2 linked regions of the Xenopus tropicalis genome follow. The protein of the gene in region 2 purifies or fractionates together with the protein of the main gene of each other region. This does not show direct contact. Links are inferred from orthologs where the notes say so. Each region holds a gene or a part of one and is shown on either strand. Other genes may lie near its edges. The genes, in order: chchd4 and cox6b1.

The links.
Region 1: the proteins of cox6b1 (region 2) and chchd4 purify together in Homo sapiens (co-immunoprecipitation; 3 studies listed by BioGRID and IntAct, with this or other methods). This does not show direct contact. The link is inferred for Xenopus tropicalis from reciprocal best matches to the Homo sapiens genes COX6B1 and CHCHD4.

What each region holds. Positions count from the first base shown.
Region 1 is NC_030680.2:132,948,505-132,952,961, reverse strand, and holds the start of chchd4 (mitochondrial intermembrane space import and assembly protein 40), read right to left. Parts: upstream 2,904-4,457; 5' UTR 2,847-2,903; coding exon 2,825-2,846; intron 1,600-2,824; coding exon 1,501-1,599; intron 1-1,500. Other genes in the region: tmem43 (transmembrane protein 43), read left to right, coding at 3,230-3,241.
Region 2 is NC_030683.2:124,521,281-124,525,726, reverse strand, and holds the start of cox6b1 (cytochrome c oxidase subunit 6B1), read right to left. Parts: upstream 2,871-4,446; 5' UTR 2,814-2,870; intron 1,783-2,813; exon of another isoform or gene 1,648-1,782; intron 1-1,647. UniProt on the Homo sapiens protein: Component of the cytochrome c oxidase, the last enzyme in the mitochondrial electron transport chain which drives oxidative phosphorylation.

The sequences.
Region 1 (4,457 bases), on a different chromosome or scaffold from region 2:
TTATTCGCTGACACTGCATGCTCAGTTAATCTAGTTTGGATCCACAGCCTTTCCACATTTAACTGTTTGGAACCATCGGCCACCTGTATGAGAACCACATCCAGATACTGAATAGAAACAAGAGGCAGCAAATAATAAAAGAATACACTGAGCTTGAGTGCTGTATTGTTATGGACTTTATAAAGGTTGGGGGAAAACAAAAACAACCAAATGAATGCTTTAGAAAAAAATGGCAGTAGATCTGTGGGTGTCAGCCCCCAAAGCAATTATACTGGAGAATCAGAATTCAATATCATGTACAATAGTATTCATTGCCTAAAAGACAAAACATGATTGGCCAACAATCCCTATTAGTGAAAATAGCATTAAAAAAAATCAGCAAGTGAAGGGCTAGTTTAACATTCATGGTTTAAAATGGAGACAACAATAGAATTCTAAGGTAATTGGTAGTTTTATAAGTATTAATTAAAACATAACCTTTTTTTTCCTTCTTTGAGACTATATTGATGAATCATGTGAAGCAATAACAATAACTTTGTGAATATGATCAAGTAAAATCATGTACCTCTCTGAAATAATCAAGTTACTCTTCACTAACCTCCTTTTAGCAATCTGTCTCTACATGCAGCTTTGTGTCCGAGTTGGTTATTTTGAAGGAAAGTTAGCTTTATACACTGTCAAGGCAAAGGGAAATATTTGACCTATCGACCAAAATGTGACTGACCCTTGTCTGAATAAAGACAGATTGCTGAGGGGGAGAGTGAACAGTAACTTTTCAGATACAGTACATTATTTTAATTGATTATATCCATCAAGTTCCTTATTTTTCTTGTGATACCTCCCCTTAAAGACCAGCATTGATTATTTGCAGTATGTTATTTGCCTGCTGTTTGCTCTTAAGATGCTGCAGTTCACTCTCCGGCCAGCTGAGGGAGCTAGCACCCCACCACATTACTTTAAACTTCATACTCTGACAAAAATAGGCAATAACAACCTGAAGCCACTGCAGTGCTTCAATATACAAGTGATTAAGACATAATACTTTTTTAAGTATGCCAGTAAATCACTCGTTGTTTAACATTGATAACTACAGTGTGACTTTGCCTTTAATATGTTGATCTGTAGGCATGAAGTAGACCCCAAGAGTGTTGGAGCCAGCACAGCATAAGTATGAGCAGCGTAAGCATGACCGATAGCCCATAAAAAACAATAAAAGAATTAAACGCCCATTCATCTCTAAAGAATGACATGGAAATCTAATACAAACTGATTTCCATAAGACAATATTTTTTTTATACCACTGTTGCACTCATGATGTAGCTCCCATCAGAAATGATGGCGATTTATGTGAAAAGTCTTAAAGCTTCTAAAATTATCTTTTGCACCTATGACCTTGCAGTTGTTGTAGAACAAAGACTCAGCTGATGTAAAGTGCAGGCAACACACTACTATCTATAGCTCAAGCATTATTACACAGCTCACACTCTGGCTCTTACTGACCATGGTCCTCATAAGGGTCATTTGGATCATCTGCGATCAGCTCGGCGCTACTGGGAGTTTCATGGTCCTCCTTGGTTACAAAAATGATTTTGTCCTTTCCTGAAACGTACATGAGAAACAATTAGGCTTTAGAATCACAACAATCCATTCTATTTGGGAACTGTAAATTAAAATAGTTACTATGCTATGATATCTGCACATTGTTTGGTATTAGGAAATTAAAGTTGCTTTGTAAGTTGCTGCAGGAAGGCAAGTGTTTATGTGCTAAAATATCTAGCAATGGTATTCTTGCCATTGTACTAATGAAATAAATGCAGGGTTACAGTAAATACCATATAAAAAAGTTTAATTGCCTTCAAAAATGAACACAGACCAATCAGTATAACACAACTGCAGTCTATTATTTGACATTTCAGCAATAATTGGTTTGATATAAATATATATATTGTACAAATACATAGAATAGCAATCACACTTTTACATTGAATATTACAATGCCCATACCTGGTGCACTCTAACCTTCCAGTTTGTGCCTGTATGTTAGATTGTAAGCTCTACGGAGCAGGGACCTCCTTCCTACTGTGTCTCATACCACATGGCACTTATTCCCTGTGCATTTATATATATTTATTGTATTTATTTATTATATCACTTGTCCTCCCTGTGTGTAATTCTGTATATTGTAAGATTGTACAGCGCTGCATACCCTTGTGGCGCTTTATAAATAAAGTTATACATACATACATAGACATAAACCCTTTGCCCTGATTTTAGAAGCAGAATTCTGCAATAAATAACACATGCTTTATACAATTAAAAGGGATCTATATCCAAATAGAAAGCTAATGTATGCCTATGCCATGCCTTCATAGTTAAACTGCCCCCTGGGTTGCTGACATTGATCTAATGAGCCCAGACGTAGAGAAAATGACTGTTAAATGCTAAAGAGTTCAGAGGAGGACCCTGGGTAAGTTTCCAGTAATCCATTTCCTTGGGTTTAGATCCCCACTAAGAGGCTCAAACAGACATAAGTTCCCAATGACCTTGCAAATAGCGAACTCATTGCAGGCAGCAGAGAGCCTTAGCAGGGGATACTGTCCCTTTAAGGAACTCCGAGGCCAGGTTTTCCCTTGTATAACCCTCAGGGTTCGGTTCCATGCCCAGCCCCTGTGTCCCTGTGCCCTCTGTCACTTTGTGCGGCCTCTCTCCCCTCCAGTTCTCCTTACTGCCAGGCTGCCCCCATTGCAGCTCTTCTCTGGCCCAGTCCCCCTGTGACACAGGCAGCTCGGCTCCCACCCCGTACCCCGGGCACATTCCCACTCACCTTCCTGCCTGCAGTAGGACATGGCTGCAGCTCCACAACACGGCGCCCGGCACAGCACCGCCTGCGCACACCAATCACGTCACACTGCGCGACTCACACAGAGGACCCCGCACATAGGCCTGCCCTCCTAGCTGCCTGACAGTAATTCATAACCTCCACCCTCACCAATTCCACCCTAGTCTCCATGCGTAGTATAGCTCATAGGATATTACTGACAATAAGCGCCACTGAATAGAACCAGGGAGGCGTTAAAAACTACATTTCCCGTGACACTGCGCGGAAGGCCAGCTACGCATGCGCAGAATGTACTGACGTGTCAGGGAGGCAACTTTGTAGCAAGAAGTTCTGGTAGGAGATAAAGTAGAGAGCGTCTGCGGAAAAGTTTATCATCCTAAGGCAGCCAGGATGAAGGGACATGTAAGTGACTTTCATTTCCATATACATCCTGTAACATTACTGTAATAGTAACCCCAAGGTGCCACCATATGTTTTATAGTGTGAAACAAATGCAGTAATAACTGTAGGGCTAAAAAATTGTGTTAATGCCAATTAAGACTCCTAGCCTATTGCACATTGTTCTCATCACATTATCCTTTTATTTATTATTATTATTATTATTATTAATAACATTTATTTACGTTTCCCTTTTTCCCTTTCCCTTTCCCCCTGGTTCATGATGTTGAAAAAAAAAAAATCTTGTAAACATTATAAGTAAAGCTCAGTATTGGTATTGTACTAATGCTAGATTTTGATGCAATCTTGAAAACTTAAATAAAGAGTTTAAAAAAAGTTTGTTAATGTCCAGCACTTCATAGTGCTTGCGCCCCTAACGTACTTTATTAAGCAGACTCTAGTCTACACTAAAAAAAATGGCTTTTCTTGCAGGGTAAGGAACAAGTTCCCCCGCTGCAAAGTTCATGTAGGAGATACTATATAATTCAGTAAAATAGCTTCCAACATAAACAGCTGATGTCCCTCTATAATAAGCAGGGCATATTAATAGTTAAAATGAATAATTAATGTGCTAATAAGTCAGTCAGCTCATTGGGGGCAGTGGAATTTACCTTAAGTTTTTTAATTCATTGGTGGTCAATTGAGTTTGTCTCTGCCCCTGGGAAACAATCTCCCGGGTTTGACAGCTCTGAATATGACACATTTTGTGTCCTGGACTGGCAATTTGTCCATTCTGGCCAATGCCAAAGGGCTGCTGTAAGATGCCATTGATAGTCACTATTAATTGGGCTTGTACTTCAAATCACCTGTACTGACCAATTATGAACTGAGAGCACAAAATGTGCTGCATGGCATGTATTGTTGATTAAAGCACGTATACTACTATGTCTGAGCAATTTCTTTACAAAGTTAATGTTTGGTTACGCCGAGCTTGTGTACTATGCTGAAACATATTTGAATATAAATGCAGCTATGCAGGTAGAAGGCCTCAGAACAGCGCATAATCAGGTTTAAATAAATATTTATAGAAAAATAAATTGAGCAGAATACTTACATATAGGCAGGGTGTGTTAGTTTGGAAGCACAATTGCTGTTTCCAAGTAGCATCATGGTAATAACTGCCTTTTATTAATCACAGGACTTAAGGCAACAGGTACAATTATCTCTCCAAACGTGCTTC
Region 2 (4,446 bases):
TAATAGCCTCTGGGAAGGGACTGGGGCTGTGGGATAGCAGGTATAGTAGGGACAGATGGTGCCTATAGTAGCAGTGGGGGGATAATAGCCTCTGAGAAGGGCTTGGGGCTGTGGGATAGCAGGTATAGTAGGGACAGATGGTGCCTATAGTAGCAGTGGGGGGATAATAGCCTCTGAGAAGGGACTGGGGCTGTGGGATAGCAGGTATAGTAGGGAGAGATGATGCCTATAGTAGCAGTGGGGGGATAATAGCCTCTGGAAGGGACTGGGGCTGTGGGATAGCAGGTATAGTAGGGAGAGATGATGCCTATAGTAGCAGTGGGGGGATAATAGCCTCTGGAAGGGACTGGGGCTGTGGGATAGCAGGTATAGTAGGGAGAGATGGTGCCTATAGTAGCAGTGGGGGGATAATAGCCTCTGGAAAGGGACTGGGGCTGTGGGATAGCAGGTATAGTAGGGAGAGACGGTGCCTATAGTAGCAGTGGGGGGATAATAGCCTCTGAGAAGGGACTGGGGCTGTGGGATAGCAGGTATAGTAGGGAGAGATGATGCCTATAGTAGCAGTGGGGGGATAATAGCCTCTGAGAAGGGACTGGGGCTGTGGGATAGCAGGTATAGTAGGGAGAGATGGTGCCTATAGTAGCAGTGGGGGGATAATAGCCTCTGGGAAGGGACTGGGGCTGTGGGATAGCAGGTATAGTAGGGAGAGATGGTGCCTATAGTAGCAGTGGGGGGATAATAGCCTCTGGGAAGGGACTGTGGCTGTGGGACAGCAGGTATAGTAGGGAGAGATGGTGCCTATAGTAGCAGTGGGGGGATAATAACCTCTGGGAAGGGACTGGGGCTGTGGGATAGCAGGTATAGTAGGGAGAGATGGTGCCTATAGTAGCAGCGGGGGGATAATAGCCTCTGGGAAGGGACTGGGGCTGTGGGATAGCAGGTATAGTAGGGAGAGATGGTGCCTATAGTAGCAGTGGGGGGATAATAGCCTCTGGGAAGGGACTGGGGCTGTGGGATAGCAGGTATAGTAGGGAGAGATGGTGCCTATAGTAGCAATGGGGGGATAATAGCCTCTGGGAAGGGACTGGGGCTGTGGGATAGCAGGTATAGTAGGGAGAGATGGTGCCTATAGTAGCAGTGGGGGATAATAGCCTCTGGGAAGGGACTGGGGCTGTGGGATAGCAGGTATAGTAGGGAGAGATGGTGCCTATAGTAGCAGTGGGGGGATAATAGCCTCTGGGAAGGGACTGGGGCTGTGGGATAGCAGGTATAGTAGGGAGAGATGGTGCCTATAGTAGCAGTGGGGGGATAATAGCCTCTGGGAAGGGACTGGGGCTGTGGGATAGCAGGTATAGTAGGGAGAGATGGTGCCTATAGTAGCAGTGGGGGATAATAGCCTCTGGGAAGGGACTGGGGCTGTGGGATAGCAGGTATAGTAGGGAGAGATGGTGCCTATAGTAGCAGTGGGGGATAATAGCCTCTGGGAAGGGACTGGGGCTGTGGGATAGCAGGTATAGTAGGGAGAGATGGTGCCTATAGCCTATGGGAAGGATGTCTGGCAGTGGGATAAGAGCTATATTAGTATCAGACAAGTCTACAAGTTGCAGTTGAACAACAGCGGAAGGACCATAAGTAAAAAAGCCCTACTTGGTATAAATGATAGAGCCTTGAAGCCCAAATTCCCTCCCCAGTCTATTAAATCAGACGAAACTTCTCAGGGCGGCTCCGTTCTAATAAACTGCAGAATAAATTTCCTCCCAGTCGACAAAAGACGAGAAGCTTCTGTGGGAAAGGTGACAGTTTAACAAACCCTTATAAACCCAGACACGGGGATGAACTGCACACGTATGTTTCACGCCTGGTCATACAGGTCACCTAGTTACAAGGTGACAAACACCCACTGTCATTTCCCATAGTGGGATTATCAGTAAGGGCAATAAAGGGGAAGTCTGACTTACAACTAACTTTTCTAGAAGACAATTCCCATTTGAACTTTATTTAATTCCCCCTTTTGGTTCTATAGCCACAAGTAACGTGCACCTACCTACCTGTCACCTGAACCAACTGCCACCTTTATAGGCAATTCCACCCACACCACCATATAAACTTTGACCCTGCTACTTTTTTCAAAGGAATAACCAGTCAAACCCTCGGAAGAATTACCCAGAGGCCGAGGGTCCCATGTAAGAGGCACAGCTGCCGGGCATTACACATATTAAACTTGGGCATTAGTCAGTATTTTTTTTTTCCACCCCATTTCTGTTCTCTGGTTCTGACTCCTGAAACAATGTAGCAGACATCAGTTACAGGTCTCATCATCAGCAGAAGCTGGGAGTCAGAACCAGCAGTGCAGAGAGTATAAAAAGCCAGATACTGCTTTCCATTGCGAATGCATTAATATATCTTAGAGTTGCAGGGTGTGTTGCCCTTTAATTGGAATGCAAGAAGGCTGCAGTGTGGGTGTAGCACAGTGACAGCACGTAGGGCCAACCCTCACTACAGTACCCAGCAGCCCCTGTAATACCAATGGGCGATAACTAGGCCGAGGGCCCCTACCAGTAACCTAATTGGACAGCAAGGGAAGCCTAGCAGGAAGGTTGTGGGATATATATACCATATCGCCCCCCCCCCACCAAGGAATGGTTTCTCCCAGGATCACCGCGCCTTCCAAGCACCTCGTTTATCCGTTCAGACAAGCTGCGCCCCAGCCCAGCCCCCTCACACCGACACTTATCCCGTCCTATGTTACTCCCACCACTGCCCTTTCCCTCTCGGCCTCCCCAGCCCGGAGCCCGGGGCCGCCACACTCTCACCTCGAGTTCGTCTTCCTCAATGTCACTTCTACCCAGCTACGGAAATGCGGCTATGAGGCCGGATGTACGTCACAGGCATACACTAAGGGCACCAGCAGGAAGGGCAGTAAGTACCTGCGCGTCCAGCGTGATGAGGTCACGTATGGGCGGGGCTAAGGAGTCAAGCGCAGTAGCGAATGGGAAGCCAGACTGGCGGGGCTAACTAAGGGTTGGTTTGAGCTCAGGCTCTTATTGGTTGAACCGTCGGCTGTTGGCGCCATTGTGTGTGAGAGAAGCGGGCACGTAGCCTTGGGGCGGAAGCTGTTGACTAGTTATCTCCATTTCATAGGGGAACTGCGGCTTCTGTACCCAAACTTGTTACAGAGTTTCACACAACACAGACACCCCATAGCACTGTAATCTGTTCTTTGAAAAACTATGAATAAAAGGCATTTTTATTAAATGAAATCCAGCTGCAAAACAGTTCTTCTCTTTCTGCATCATTTGAAATCCTGGCAGGGGAGGAGGGACTAAAACACTGATGTTGAAAGTTGTAACAACTTCTCCATATTTTACAGGAACTACATAACCCACAATGCATTGTACTGTGATGTACCTTTCCTTATTGACAACATGTGCAGCAGGGGATTGTGGGATTGGGATGAGGCACTGTGATGTACCTTTCCTTATTGACATCACGTGTGCAGCAGGGGATTGTGGGATTGGGATGAGGCACTGTGATGTACCTTTCCTTATTGACATCACGTGTGCAGCAGGGGATTGTGGGATTGGGATGAGGCACTGGGATGTACCTTTCCTTATTGACATCACGTGTGCAGCAGGGGATTGTGGGATTGGGATGAGGCACTGGGATGTACCTTTCCTTATTGACAACATGTGTGCAGCAGGGGATTGTGGGATTGGGATGAGGCACTGTGATGTACCTTTCCTTATTGACAACACGTGTGCAGCAGGGGATTGTGGGATTGGGAGGAGGCACTGTGATGTACCTTTCCTTATTGACAACACGTGTGCAGCAGGGGATTGTGGGATTGGGATGAGGCACTGTGATGTACCTTTCCTTATTGACATCACGTGTGCAGCAGGGGATTGTGGGATTGGGAGGAGGCACTGTGATGTACCTTTCCTTATTGACATCACGTGTGCAGCAGGGGATTGTGGGATTGGGAGGAGGCAGGCTGAGGGCAGGCGACTACTGGTACATTTATTTGAGTCTCAAAGTTGTAGAATCTAAATCTGTAAGAGTATGAAAGATGTAGTTGTACAAGGCGTCCCTCGGATATGGGAGGAGCTCATTCATGGCTATTGGAAGTTCTTGATTTCATTTCAGTGCTATCAAATATGTCTAGGGTTACAATAGTTTTGTCGATCAGTTTTCGTTATATCTAAAAGGATATGTCTGAATGGAATAACAAAGTCCTGTGCTCTGTATAGTGAAACGAGGAATTGTGGAAACCTGCTTTGCTGAACTTCAACCTTATTTTGCACTAGCCAATCACATAATGGGCCAAATCAGGGAATGTAATTGTGTAAGCTTAGGGTAAATTGGGGACACCGGATTTACCCCAAAACCAACCACCTTACACCAAATTTCACGGATGAGACCATTTCTTTCAGGTTTGAGCCCTCTCAT